Linked DNA regions of Callithrix jacchus. The protein of the gene in region 1 interacts with the protein of each later gene in a pairwise test. Links are inferred from orthologs where the notes say so. Each region holds a gene or a part of one and is shown in the gene's direction. Other genes may lie near its edges.

Evidence for each region.
Region 2: the proteins of KEAP1 (region 1) and ETF1 interact in binary tests that used the Homo sapiens proteins (3 or more experiments, as listed by UniProt). The two-hybrid records come from large-scale screens. The link is inferred for Callithrix jacchus from reciprocal best matches to the Homo sapiens genes KEAP1 and ETF1.
Region 3: the proteins of KEAP1 (region 1) and PRKAG1 interact in binary tests that used the Homo sapiens proteins (3 or more experiments, as listed by UniProt). The two-hybrid records come from large-scale screens. The link is inferred for Callithrix jacchus from reciprocal best matches to the Homo sapiens genes KEAP1 and PRKAG1.

What each region holds. Positions count from the first base shown.
Region 1 is NC_133523.1:9,671,573-9,676,392, reverse strand, and holds the end of KEAP1 (kelch-like ECH-associated protein 1), read left to right. Parts: intron 1-226; coding exon 227-432; intron 433-713; coding exon 714-890; intron 891-2,742; coding exon 2,743-2,909; 3' UTR 2,910-3,422; downstream 3,423-4,820. UniProt on the Homo sapiens protein: Substrate-specific adapter of a BCR (BTB-CUL3-RBX1) E3 ubiquitin ligase complex that regulates the response to oxidative stress by targeting NFE2L2/NRF2 for ubiquitination.
Region 2 is NC_133503.1:36,922,215-36,926,657, reverse strand, and holds part of ETF1 (eukaryotic peptide chain release factor subunit 1), read left to right. Parts: intron 1-153; coding exon 154-309; intron 310-742; coding exon 743-807; intron 808-2,523; coding exon 2,524-2,671; intron 2,672-2,943; coding exon 2,944-3,026; 3' UTR 3,027-4,443. UniProt on the Homo sapiens protein: Component of the eRF1-eRF3-GTP ternary complex, a ternary complex that mediates translation termination in response to the termination codons. The eRF1-eRF3-GTP complex binds to a stop codon in the ribosomal A-site.
Region 3 is NC_133510.1:70,552,483-70,557,867, forward strand, and holds part of PRKAG1 (5'-AMP-activated protein kinase subunit gamma-1), read left to right. Parts: intron 1-3,249; coding exon 3,250-3,359; intron 3,360-3,557; coding exon 3,558-3,639; intron 3,640-3,736; coding exon 3,737-3,795; intron 3,796-3,938; coding exon 3,939-3,984; intron 3,985-4,085; coding exon 4,086-4,140; intron 4,141-4,408; coding exon 4,409-4,535; intron 4,536-5,034; coding exon 5,035-5,200; intron 5,201-5,361; coding exon 5,362-5,385. UniProt on the Homo sapiens protein: AMP/ATP-binding subunit of AMP-activated protein kinase (AMPK), an energy sensor protein kinase that plays a key role in regulating cellular energy metabolism.

The sequences.
Region 1 (4,820 bases):
CTGTTGCACTCCAGCCTGGGTGACGAGCAAAAACTCCATCTCAAAAAAAAAAAAGAAGGGTCTGAAGTTTCATTAAGCTGTGATGGTGCCACTGCTCTCCAGCCTGGACAACAGAACAAGACCTTGTCTATTTAAGGGAAGCAAAAAAGAACGAACAGGGCCCTTAAGTATTCCACAAAGGTCAGCTATAATGGCCATTGTCACCATTGTTCTCACGCCCTTGCAGGTATGAGCCAGAGCGAGATGAGTGGCACTTGGTGGCCCCAATGCTGACACGAAGGATCGGGGTGGGCGTGGCCGTCCTGAATCGTCTGCTATATGCCGTCGGGGGATTTGATGGGACGAACCGCCTTAATTCAGCTGAGTGCTATTATCTAGAGCGGAACGAGTGGCGAATGATCACACCCATGAACACCATCCGGAGCGGGGCAGGTACTTGAGGACGGCAGGGAGGGGAGCGTCCAGGACCACCACCCCCTCATCATCCTAGGGTGAAACTGAACCAGGCCTGGGAGAGACCCCCCTGTTGTCACCCTCACCCTGGGTACCCACAGAAGCACTGGATTCTGATGGAGTCCAAGCTTCTCTCTCTCCCACTTCATTTCTGAGGGTGAGAAGGTAGAGGAGAGAGGAAAAGTCTCCCTCAAGGAGGTGATGGCTGGGGTTCCTGAAGCCAGACCCCAGAATCACCTTCTGTGCACGGTGTCCTTTAGGTGTCTGCGTCCTGCACAACTGTATCTATGCTGCCGGGGGCTATGATGGTCAGGATCAGCTGAACAGCGTGGAGCGGTATGACGTGGAAACAGAGACGTGGACGTTCGTGGCCCCCATGAAGCACCGGCGAAGTGCCCTGGGGATCACTGTGCACCAGGGGAGAATCTACGTCCTTGGTGAGGCCCTGGGGGTGGGGAAGAGTCCTGACTAGTCTCATCTGTTGTGGACAGGTGGCTGCTTTTGCTTTTCTTTTCTTTTTTTTTTTAGAAACAGTGTCTCATGGCTGGGCACGGTAGCTCACGCCTGTAATCCCAGCACTTTGGGAGTCTGAAGCGGGTAGATCACCTGAGGTCAGGAGTTTGAGACGAGCATGGCCAACGTGGTAAAACCCTGTCTCTACTAAAAATACAAAAATTAGCCAGGCATAGTGGAGCACGCTTGTAATCTCAGCTACTCAGGAGGCTGAGGCACGAGAATTGCTTGAACCCGGGAGGCAGAGGTTGCAGTAAGCTGAAATTGCACCTTGCACTCCAGCCTGGGCAACAAGAGCAAAACTCCATCTAAAAAAGAAAAGCAAAGCCGGGCGCAGTGGCTCACACCTGTAATCCCAGCATTTTGGGAGGCCAAGGCGGGCAGATCACAAGATCAAAAGATCAAGACCATCCTGGTCAACATGGTGAAACCCCGTCTCTTAAAAAAAAAAAAAAAAAAAAAAAGTGAAAAGAAAAGAAACAGGGTCTTGCTCTGTTGCCCAGGCTGGAGTGCAGTAGTGTGATCACAGCTCACTGCAGCCTTAACCACCTGGGCTCCAGCCATCCTCCTGTCTCAGCCTCCCAAGGATCGGGGACCATAGGCATGCACCCACCACACCTGGCTAATCTTATTTCTTTTTATTTTGTTTTGTTGAGGAGTTTCACTCTTGTTACCGAGGCTGGAGTGCAATAGTGCGATCTCAGCTCACTGCAACCTCCGCCTCCCAGGTTCAAGCAATTCTCCTGTCTCAGCCTCCCAAGTAGCTGGGACTACAGGTGCACATCACCATACCTGGCTAATTTTGTATTTTTAGTAGAGATGGGGTTTCTCCATGTTGGCCAAGCTAGTCTCAAACTCCTGACCTCAAGTGATCCACCTGCTTCGGCCTCCCAAACTGTTAGGATTACAGGCGTGAGCCACTCTGTCCAGCTTTTGTTTTATGTTTTAAAATTTTTATCTATTTACTACTTTTGAGAGAAAGTCTTACTCTGTTGCCCACACTGGAGTGCAGTGGCACAACACTGGCTCATTGCAGTCTCCTCCTCCCTGGTTTAAACATTCTATCTCCACCTCCCAAGTAGCTGGGATTATAGGCATGCGACACCAAGCCCAGCTAATTTTTGTACATTTTGTGCATACAGGGTTTCACTATGTTGTCCAGGATAGTATTGAACTCAGGTGATCTGCCCGCCTCAGCCTCCAAAGTGCTGGGATTGCAATCATGAGCCACCATGAGCGGCCTATTTTTATTGATTTATTTTGAGACACGGTCTTACTCTGTTTCCCAGGCTAGAGTACAGTGGTGCAATCTCTGCTCACTGCAACCTCGGCCTCCCAGGCTCAACTGTTCCTCCCCACCTCAGCCTCCCTAGTAGCTGGGACTACAGGCGAGCACCACCATGCCTGGCTAAATTTTTGTCTTTTTTTGTAGAGACAGGGCTTCACCATGTTGCCCAGGCTGGTCTCAAACTCCTGGACTCAAGTGATCCACCTGCCTCAGCCTCCCAAAGTGCTGGGATTACAGGCCTGAGCTACCATGCCTGGCCTTTTTTTTTTTTGTAAGAGACTAGGGTTTTGCTATGTCGCCCTGGCTGGCCTCGAACTCCTGGCCTCAAACAATCCTCCCGCCTAAGCCCTGCAAAGTGCTGGGATTATAGGTGTGAGCCACCATGCCCGGCCTGCTTTTGTATCTTGCAGCTGCTTCTCCCTCTTTCTGTCCCCTGCTTTTGGATGTGGCATGACAGGTGGTAACCGTCCCTTCTGTTCTCCCTGTAGGAGGCTATGACGGTCACACATTCCTGGACAGTGTGGAGTGTTATGACCCAGACACAGACACCTGGAGTGAGGTGACCCGAATGACATCAGGCCGGAGTGGGGTGGGCGTGGCTGTCACCATGGAGCCCTGTCGGAAGCAGATCGACCAGCAGAACTGTACCTGTTGAGGCACTTTTGTTTCTTGGACGAAAACACAGTCCAATGGGGAATATTGTTGTTTTTGTATAAAAACCGGGACTGAAAGAAAAGACGGCACTGCAAATAACCCATCCTCTGGGAAGGGAGGCCGGGATGCCTCAGTGTTAAAATGACATCTCAAAAGAAGTCCAAAGCAGGAACCATGTGCCCTCAGCAGAGCCCCAGGAGTGTCCAAGACAGCCTGGCTGGGAACAGGGGTGTGAGAAGAGCAGGTTTCCAGGAGAGAGGCCCCCAAACCCTCTGCCCAGCAGTAGGCCTGGGTCCGACCCACTCCAGCAGCCGTCACCTTATGATTTGTTCTTGGATACCTGGGAGGGTGCCAAGGGGGCCTCACGGGGAGGCCCCCTCTGGAAATACGGTTCCTAGGGATGGAACTGTACATACAAGCCACCAAATGGCACTTCCCTGGACAGTTATTTTGTTGATAAGTAACCCTGTAATTTTCCAAGGAAAATAAAGAACAGACTAACTAGTGTCTTTCACCCTGGCTCTCGGCTGAAGGTCTGAAACCCGGAGACAGAAAGGGCTCTTCTCCTGAAATACACTTCTCTTTGACTTAGGGCTGGTCATTGAAACCAGTTTGGAATCTTTACCCGTCGCATTTTGATATGTAGGGCATCTTTCTCCCCATCAGCAAGCCACACAGTTGTCTTTAAGTTTCAGCTGCCTTGGAAGACAAAGGAGCTAATTCCTTGTGACATCTCCACATCTCCTAGGGCTCCCCAAGGTCAATTTCTTTTTTTTGAGACAGTTTCATGCTTGTTGCCCAGGCTGGAGTGCAATGGCTCGATCTTGGCTCACCGCAACCTCCACCTCCTGGGTTCAAGCAATTCTCCTGCCTCAGCCTCCCAAGTAGCTGGGATTACAGGCACCCAACACCATGCCCAGCTAATTTTGTATTTTTAGTAGAGACAGTGTTTCTCCATGTTGGTCAGGCTGGTCTTGAACTCCTGACCTCAGGTAATCTGCCCACCTCAGCCTCCCAAAGTGTTGGGATTACAGGCATGAGCCACCACGCTTGGCCATTTTCGTTTTTTTTTTTTTTAAAGACAGGGTTTCACCATATTGGTCAGGCTGGTCTTGAACTCCTGACCTCAGGTGATCCGCCCGCCTCAGCCTCCCAAAGTGCTGGGATTATAGGCATGAGCCACCGCACCCGGCTCATTTTCGTATTTTTAGTAGAGACGAAAATGGTTCTGCCGTGTTGGCCACGCTGGTCTCAAACTCCTGACCTCAGGTGATCTGCCCCACTCAGCCCACAAAGAGCTGCGCCTGGCCGAGACCTTGTTTTTTTAAAAAAAAAAAAAAGTTTAGTCAATTCAATTAAGCAATTTTGGTATCAGCTGTTTCTTTTTTCTTTTTTTTTGAGACAATCTCATCCGTCACTCAGGCTGCAGTGTAGTGGGGTGGTCACGGCTCACTGCAGCCTCAACTTACTGCAATGAGGAAATCCTCCCAGCTCAGCCTCTTCAATAGCTGGGACCACCATGCCCTGCTAATTTATTTTTTGTAATTTATTTTTGCCATGTTGCCCGGCCTACACCCACTTTCCAACTCCACAAAAACCAACTTCTTTTGAGTCCCTATTCTGGGCTTTGGGGAGATGGTGGTGAACGAACCTGCAGTGATGCCTGACCTCGGGCTGGGTGACCCATTTATCCAAGTTTGAGCATAGAAAGGCTGGCAGCCCCCAAGCCACATAAACCAGGGCTGTTGGCCACACCACAGGTAAGCCAGATGCTGCAGCTGAGGGACTACATGTATTGAGGGACCAGCAGGCAGGGTTCTGGTGAAGTCACATTTTGATTGCTTGATTTTGAGACCAAGTCCCCCTCTGACATTCCGGCTGGAGTGCAGTAGCTGGATCTCAGCTCACTGCA
Region 2 (4,443 bases), on another chromosome or scaffold:
AAAGGTAAAAAGAGAGGAATTTAGCATTTTTATTAACACTTTTGCCTCAGTGAAAGCATTATTTTTTATCTTCTTTAGTCATTAGGTCAAGTAGGTGTGTTTGTATCTAAGAAAATTTTAATGTATGTTCTATTGACTTGTCCCTAATCACAGGACGATACTTTGATGAAATCAGCCAGGACACGGGCAAATACTGTTTTGGCGTTGAAGATACACTAAAGGCTTTGGAAATGGGAGCTGTAGAAATTCTAATAGTCTATGAAAATCTGGATATAATGAGATATGTTCTTCATTGCCAAGGCACAGAAGGTAGGAGAATTAGAAAATAAAGTTGGTTGAAAAAAGAAAATAAAGTTGGTATTTCTTACTGACCCAGGAAGCCTGGGGTGGAGATTTGGGGGAAGGTGGCTGATTTCAGGAACAATCAGAAAGTAGATCTACCCCTTGTTCCCCGCTCCTTCAGTCCGTAGCACATTCCTGCATAGATTTTTCTGCTTGAACTGTTTAATGTCTACTTAAGATTGTTAAATCTGCCCAGGACTGCATCTTGAACATCTCTGATGTTTCTTATGGTTAAAGCATTGTACCTAGTAGACACTCAATGTATGCTAACATGCTTATGGAAAAAAGGTTGAGAGATCAAGTCCCTGAGCCCTTTTCTCATCTAATCTCAACTTATGGAGCTTATACAGATTAGTATATGAGAGCCAAGTTAACATATTTTTTCCTCCTAATACTACAGAGGAGAAAATTCTCTATCTAACTCCAGAGCAAGAAAAGGATAAATCTCATTTCACAGACAAAGAGGTATGTGATTATTTTCTTGGTTTGATGATATATGCAAGCATAAATCCATGTGTTAGAGTACACTGGGAGTGTAGAGGGTCAGCCTTGGGAAACCAAACCACATATTAATTGGGGTTGTTGGGGGACTGTAGGAAGTGATCATCTCTGATTCCAGGGAGGGAGGCCAAATCATAGTTACTGCAGCCTATTTTTGTTGTTTTGTTTTTTGGAGACAGGCTGACTCTGTCACCCAAGCCGGAGTACAAAGGCACGATCTTGGCTCACTGCAACCTCAGCCTCCTAGGCTCAAGCAATCCTCTTGCCTGAGCCTTTCTGTACACTACCTTGCCCAACTAACTTTTGAATTTTTTATGGAGATGGGTTTTCATCATGTTGCCCGGGCTGGTCTTGAACTCCTGAGCTCAAGCAGTCTGCTTACCTCAGTAGCCTCCCAAGTGGTGGGATTACAGGCATGAGCCATCATGCCCGGCCTACTTCAGCCTCTGTTTGAGGTACAGTCCTGGTCTGTCACCCAGGATGGATGCAGTGGCACAATCATAGATTATTGGAGATGGGGTTTCACCATGTTGGCCAGCCTGGTCTCGAACTCCTGACCTCAGGTGATCCACCGCACCCAGCCACTTGACTAATTTTTTTAATAAAAACTGGGTCTTGGCCGGCCGTGGTGGCTCACGCCTGTAATCCCAGCATTTTGGGAGGCCAAGGCAGGTGGATCACAAGGTCAAGAGATCGAGACCATCCTGGTCAACATGGTGAAACCCCGTCTCTATTAAAAATACAAAAATTAGCTGGGCATGGTGGCGCGCGCTTGTAGTCCCAGCTGCTCGAGAGGCTGAGGCAGGAGAATTGCTTGAACCCAGGAGGCAGAGGTTGTGGTGAGCCGATATTGCACCATTGCACTCCAGCCTGGGTAACAAGAGTGAAACTACGTCTCAAAAAAAAAAAAAAAAAAACTGAGTCTTGCTGTGTTCATCAGGCTGGTATTGAATTCCTGGGCTCAAGTGATCTTCCTGCCTTGGTCTTCCAAAGTGGTGAGATTACACACCAGACCCACTATGCCTGGCCTGTTTTTGTTTTGTGTTTTTAATTAGTTAAGCAATCAGGAAAAATTTCTTTATCCTTGAAATCATTAATAGAGAGGAAAATTTACTTTGCATAATGTCTCTCCTGCACTGTGAAACCTGTGCTGCTTTCTTCACTTTATCATCTCTTTAACTGTAGTGGCTTCTCTGGTTTGCTCTAAATGCATCACCACAGTTTAAAGTATCACACTCCCTTATGAGATAGGTTTAAATCATACCTTCCTCAAATTCTGATTTGAAGAGCTTTGTTCTTTACAAGGCTGCTCCCAAAAGTAGTCCTGGCATGTCTCTTCTGGGCCATTCAATGAGTGCTGCTTAGAGATAAGATACTACAACAGCCTGACTTCTAGAGTCAACAATGGGAATCATAAGCTGAAAACCCAGAGTGTTTGTGTTGACATTTCATTGCTGAGGATAGAGCCTGAGGAGAGAAGTGTTGTTTGAAATAATCTGAATTTATCTGCTTATGTCCATTATGTTATCAAAACCAGAGATTACTTACAGACTTTACACACAGACAGACATGTAAGTGGGAGGATGAGAGCGATGGTTGGGCAAGGGGCTGTGAGAGGGCCTAATAAGCCTTGATAATATCCTAATCCCCCATTTTTGTATCTCATGGTCACCCCTATAGACCGGACAGGAACATGAGCTTATTGAGAGCATGCCCCTGTTGGAATGGTTTGCTAACAACTATAAAAAATTTGGAGCTACGTTGGAAATTGTCACAGATAAATCACAAGAAGGGTCTCAGTTTGTGAAAGGCTTTGGTGGAATTGGAGGTGAGTAGAAAATCAGCAAACCAAACTTAAAACCAGGGTCTCAGGCCAAGGCCCCTCCTGGTTCACCCTGCTTCAGGTGAGGTGCTCATTATCTACTGAGATGGGTAATTGAGGCAGCAGGTGCAGGTTCCTGATTTGGATCAATGTTTTTTATTACCTCTTCTATAATTCTGCAAGAGAATAGGGCTTCCCTTATTAGAGTGACCAGCCCCCCTACACCCAATGGCCCATTCCATGAACACGGTAATTTACCTTTTGGTTTGTTTCCCCAGGTATCTTGCGGTACCGAGTAGATTTCCAGGGAATGGAATACCAAGGAGGAGACGATGAATTTTTTGACCTTGATGACTACTAGGTAGTCGACATGGGTCCGGCAAAACGTGCCTCACCCTCCAGCATCCAACCCAAGGAGCATACCCATGGTGGAATCCAAACAGATCCCTGCCTTACAATTGGAACATTTCCAGAACTTAATCCATGAGCATTGGATATTGAAAAGAAACCGAAACAAAACCAGACCCAACCCTACACTTTGGTTTGTCATGGTGTCAGCGCAGCAGCCTACAACTAAGTTCCTAAATGCCACTTTGGACTAATTTAAAAAAGAATCCCAGTTTTTACTTTTACTCGATGGTGAAATTGGTTGCTCTTGTATTTTATGAAAAAAAAAAAATGATTTTTTTAACCTTCATACATAGAAGCAAAAATACTTTAACTGCTGTAAACCTTCAAAAGTTAATAGAAGTGAGATCATACTGGTTTGTTTCTTATTTTGATTGGAGAAAAAATTAAATTGCTGCATTTCGCAGTGACCCATTTACATGGCATTCTCAGCTTAGACTGCATAAGAAGAAATACATGTGGTGAAATGTTGGAACCATTTCTCTCTTGGTCTCTGTTTAATGTTGAAAGGGTGAGCTAATAGGAGGCAATTTCAACTTCACTCCCTCACGCTACCCCGTCCCCCTCCAGACTGGCAGTTTCAAGGATGCAAATTGCATTGCAAAATCAAACTGACTCATGAAGCATTTGGGCCAGTGCACTGTTTACTTCCATCTGTTTGCAGACACATTTGTGCCCAGCATTTGGGAGCCTTTTGTATCGATGTTCTGACAAAGGTCCCTATAACCTTAACCTACTCGAAACCAGTTTGGGATGGATATGATGGGGCTTCTGTGCTCTTGCTGGGATTGGGAGAATAAAACATGCAATTTAAGTGGAAGCGAAGAAATTTAAAGAGGATTTTCTTTTGCTTGGGTCAGTCCTTGTTAAAAGGGAGGTGGACGTATTTTCCTTGTGTTGGATGGCATGAGATTATGTGAATGTTTTGATTTATTAAAATGAACTGCAAGGTTTTTCACAGGAACGACAGACATGTATGACTGCATGTAATTATAAACTCCTGACCTCCTGGTGGGGTTGGAGCATCTGTTTCAAATGTGGGACTTATAAGCACCTCTCACACGAGAAATTAGGGGCGGGAGGGAAGGGATGGATCACAGCTTCTGGCACCATGGACTTTAAGACCATGTTGGATCCAAAAGTTGGCCTGAAACGCTGAAGCTTATGCTTCCCAGCTGGCCTGTAAGTCAGACTTGAACCCAGCTGATATGCAAGGTCATGGCGTGCCCGAGGTGGTGACAGTGAACAAAGTGTATAGTATGTGCCCAGTGGTAGCAATGGAAAAAAGTATACCAAATGGACTTTGAAGGACCAAAGGTTTTAAAAGTCAATTGGTATCATCTCCACACTGACTAGGGTAGTGGGGTACA
Region 3 (5,385 bases), on another chromosome or scaffold:
GAATTGCCTTGGACTCTCAACACTAGCAACTAGCAGGCAGTGGAGCAATGCCTTCAACATTCTGCAGGAAAATAAATTACAAGCTTTCCTGCGAATTCTCAGCCAAATTATAAATCAAGGATGAGGGTAGAATAAAGATATCTTCAGGCTGCAAGTTCTCAAAAAATGTACCTCTCATGCACCCTTTCTCAGGAAGCTACTGGAAGATCTGTTCTACTAAAACAAGGGAGTAATCAAAAAAGATGAAAACGGGATATAGGAAACAGGAGCACCCGTAGAGGAGAGACTTGAAAGGGGTACCCAGGATGGTGATGAAGAAAGATTCCAGGATGACAGCAGTGCACACCAGACAAACCAGCCCAGATTTGAGCAGTCAGAAGGCTCCAGCGAGACTTCTTTGGGTAGTTTAAATTGATAGACTATCTAATGCTTCTGAACCTCTTGAAGCATTTGCGGATTGGATTAGTTATGGGAATTATACATAGAAAATTAAACAAACAGGCTGGGTGTGGTGGCTCATGCCTGTAATCCCAGCCCTTTGGGAGGCTGAGGCGGGTAGATTGCCTGAGGTCAGAATTTCTAGACCAGCCTGGCCAACATGGTGAAACCTTGTCTCTACTTTAAAAAATATAAAAATTAACTGGGCATGGTAGCACATGCCTGTAATCCCAGCTACTCAGGAGGCTGAGACAGGAGAATCACTTGAACCTGGGAGGTAGAGGTTGCACCACTGCACTCCAGCCTGGGCTACAGAGCAGGACTATCTCAAAAAAATGAAAATTAAACAGAAGGACAAGACCATTAACTCCAGGGAAGACAAAGTTGTGAAAGGAAGAAAAAAAATCAGTTTACTATTCGGTTTATCTCTGAATAATAAACATTCAGTCACAATGATTTAAATACCGGCTGGCTGCAGTGGCTCATGCCTGTTATCCCAGCACTTTGGGAGGCTGAAGTGGGCGGATCACTTGAGGTCAGGAGTTTGAGACCAGCCTGGACAACATGGTGAAACTCCATTTCTACTAAAATACAAAAATTAGCCGGGCATGGTGGCAGGCGCCCGTAATCCCAGCTACTTGGGAGGCTGAGGCAGGAGAATTGCTTTAACCTGGGAGGCTGAGGTTGCAGTAAGTCGAGATTTTGCCACTGCACTCCAGCCTGGGTGACAAAGTGAGACTCCCTCTCAGGGGAAAAAAAAAAAAAAAAGGATTTAAATACAGATATATCTAATATGTTTTAGCTCCTGGAAGAATGGGGAGGATGGGAAGTAGGGGGAGGATGGGAAGTAGGGGAAGGATGGGAAGTACATGTTTGTGATGAAGCCCTAGTAGGAAAGAGAAATAGAAATTCTCATCTTCCTTCGTAGGTAGATGATAAATAATGCCCCAAAATGAAAAAAAAAAATCTGAAACTAGCAATACAAGCATGTTATTTAAGGACATAGAATTAAGTACCAAAATAATCAACTAAAAGAGGTGGATGTTCTCATCTCTGGGGAAGGGTAGTACAGGGAGGTAGGTTGCAAGGACTGCATTTTTTTTCTTAACAAAATTTGTAAATGTGTTTGACTCTTTAAACTGTGTGCCTGTATAACTTTGGTTAAAAAAAATTAAACAAATTGGCTAAAGACTTAAGAGCATGAAGTTTGGAATCAGATCTGAGTTTGAGTCTTTCTTGCCACTCATTGGCATTGGAGTGACTTTGAGCAGCTTATTTAACTACACCTGTTTTCTCATCTGAAACAGGACAGTACTTACAGATTTGTTGTAAGTTTTAAATGACGTAATTTTTTCTTTTTCTTTTGAGACAGAGTCTTACTGTCTTGCCAAGGCTGGAGTGCAGTGACAGGATCTCGGCTCACTGCAACCTCTGCCTACTGGGTTCAAGCGATTCTCTTGCCTCAGCCTCCCGAGTAGTTGGGACTACAGGCGCATGACACCACGCCTGGCTAGTTTTTGTATTTTTTTTCTTAGTAGAGATGGGGTTTTGCCATGTTTGCCAGGGGCTTGCTATGTTGCCCAGGCTGGTCTGAAACTCCTGACCTCAGGTAATCCACCCACCTTGGCCTCCCAAAGTGCTGGGATTACAGGCATCAACCACCTCACCAAGCCAATGTAATATTTTTAAGTACATTTAGTATAGTATGTAGCACATTCAAGCTATTATTTTGGGAGATTGCTTCCCTAGTTTAGAGCAAGCAATTAAAATCACAGGAACAGAAAAAGGTAAACCTAGCCAGGATCTCCCATTTGTCTCAAGTAGGTGGGATGATTTCTGATTTACAGGGTGATCCCAAAATGTACTCTCAAGGTGTTTTGAGCCAGGTTGATCGAGCACTGGGCTCTAACTTACTGTTGATCAGAACTGGCCCAATTTGGACCATGACTTTCCCATTTGCAGGTCTTAGGTTATTTTTTTTTTTTTGAGATGGAGTTTCGCTGTTGTTATCCAGACTGGAGTGCAATGGCGCGATTTCGGCTCACCACAACCTCCACCTTCTGGGTTCAAGCAATTCTCCTGCCTCAGCCTCCCAAGTAGCTGGGACTACAGGCGTGCACCACCATGCCCAGCTAATTTTTTTTTGTATTTTTAGTAGAGATGGGATTTCACCTTGTTGACCAGGATCGTTTCGATCTCTTGACCTCGTGATCCACCCGCCTCGGCCTCCCAAAGTGCTGGGATTACAGGCGTGAGCCACCGCGCCTGGCCAGGATATATATATATTTTTAATTGAGACAGGGGCTTGCTGTGTTGCCCAGGCTGGCCTCAAACTCCTGAGTTCAAATGATCCTCTTCCTCAACTTCCTGAATAGCTGGGATTACAGGTGCATGCCACCATGCCCAGCACAGTCTTTAAAGAATTTTAAGAAGCTTACTTCATTGAAAACAGAGAACGAGTGAAAAATGTGCTAAATATATGAAAGGGAAAGCTTAGATTAAAGATGAGAAAAAAGTTTATATATAACATGTTAAAGAGATACTATAGACTTTAGGTTTTAGTTAACTTTCTTATACCTATAGGGACCAATAGATAAAGTCTTAATCTGGAGATAGGGGTTGGATGAAATGGTTTCTAAGAGGTTTATCCAGGCTTTGTGGAAACAATAGGAACAAAAGATAAAATAAGGGACCTTATAAAAAATCATGCTCTAAATATTTGAGACACGAGAACACTATTTTGTTTTCTGTCTCTTTTGATTGGGAGTTTTCAATGTGGAAGGAAGCTACTAACTATTCCACCCTATGCAGAGACCCCAGAATCCAACAATAGCGTGTATACTTCCTTCATGAAGTCTCATCGCTGCTATGACCTGATTCCCACAAGCTCCAAATTGGTTGTATTTGATACATCCCTGCAGGTGGGTGAAATCCTCTTTTCCCTTCCCCTTTTGGAGGCTTTGGTTTAATACCTTTCATCCTGTCTCATCCCAAGGGTAGTATCCTTATCCTTCTGTGAACTTAGTCTCATGTTTTGCCCAACATGCTCAAACACTGTTCTTTTTTACAGTCTTGCCCCTATGGGTTTGCCTTTATGATTATTTCTGTCTTGGCTACAGGTGAAGAAAGCTTTCTTTGCTTTGGTGACTAACGGTGTACGAGCTGCCCCTTTATGGGATAGTAAGAAGCAAAGTTTTGTGGGTAAGCCAACGTTTCTGCAACACAGTATTATTAGCATCTTGTGCTGGGCAGGGATAGAAGCTTCAGGCAGTGCTTAGGGCTCTGTCTTGTCCTCTAGGTATGCTGACCATCACTGATTTCATCAATATTCTGCACCGCTACTATAAATCAGCCTTGGTAAGGAACTTCAGCCTAATGAACAAAGTCACTTTCTCTACCCTAAGTCCCTCATTCTCCTCCTTTCTTTTCCTCCAAGCAAGCCACAAGGGCTTAAGGAAGTAGAGAGTTCAGGTCTCAAATTCTGTTGCTTCTGCTTTCAGGTACAGATCTATGAGCTAGAAGAACACAAGATAGAAACTTGGAGAGGTATGTAGAGAATTGGGGTTGTAAAAAGATAAAGGGATGGAAGGTTTCTGGGAAACGCTTTTCCATGGTGGTATTTTATGACCCATCCCTTTTCCCTTCAGAGGTGTACCTCCAGGACTCCTTTAAACCGCTTGTCTGCATTTCTCCTAATGCCAGGTGAGTTCCAGCTGTCTATTCATCTGTCCAAAGGGGGAAGAGATTTGCCATCAGCATAGCTAATGCTCTAGACACCCAGGGAAAGGGAAAGAAGAGAGAAAACACACACACACACACACACTCTCTCTCTCTCTCTCTCTCATCTGTCCTGTACACTGCCCCGCTTCCCTAACCATCAGTTTTCCCTGTTACCTGTACACTGTATGGAGCAGTTTAACCACCCTCAGCCCCAGTACTGTGGAACTTATTATCTCCCACCCTCCCACAGCTTGTTTGATGCTGTCTCTTCATTAATTCGGAACAAGATCCACAGGCTGCCAGTTATTGACCCAGAATCGGGCAATACTTTGTACATCCTCACCCACAAGCGCATTCTGAAGTTCCTCAAATTGTTTGTAAGTACTCCTCAGCCCAGTTCCTTTTTCTCTTTTTTCATTTATTTATTTATTTGTTGAAAAAAGAGATGAGGATTACAGGTGTGAGCCACTGCATCCAGTCCCAGTTCTTATTTATTTATTAATTCATTTTGAGACAAGGTCTGACTTTGTTGCCCAGGCTGGAGTGGAGAGGCGCTATCACGGCTCACTTCAGCTTCCACCTCTTGGGCTCAGGTGATTACCCCCACCTCAACCCCCAGAGGAGCTGGGACTACAGGTGTGTACTACCACACCTGGCTAATTTTTTGGTATTTTTTTAGAGATGGGGTTTTGCCGTATTGCCCAGGCTGGTCTGAAACTCCTGGGCTCAAGCAATATGCCACCTCAGTCTTTGACAGTGCTGGAATTACAGGCATAAGCTGGCGCAACCAGCCCTTATTTCTACGTACTGGACTGGAGGGCTATCCAAGAGTGGTTTTGCATGCCTTCAAAGTTAAGTTGATGGTTCTTTCCTCAGATCACTGAATTTCCCAAGCCAGAGTTCATGTCCAAGTCTCTGGAAGAGCTACAGATTGGCACCTATGCCAATATTGCTATGGTTCGCACTACTACCCCCGTCTATGTGGCTCTGGGCATTTTTGTACAGCATCGAGTCTCAGCTCTGCCAGTGGTGGATGAGAAGGGTAAGAGATTGGGCAGAAGGAGAGGGAGGGAAGATCCAGGGAAATTAGGGGGGCTCTAGGAAAATCTGTTTTCCCCTCAGCTCAGCCAGGAGGGTGATTCTTTGAGTAGGGGGAGTCTTAGATGCCAGATCCTCCTTACTGAGCTGCCTCTGTCCCCCTAGGGCGTGTGGTGGACATCTACTCCA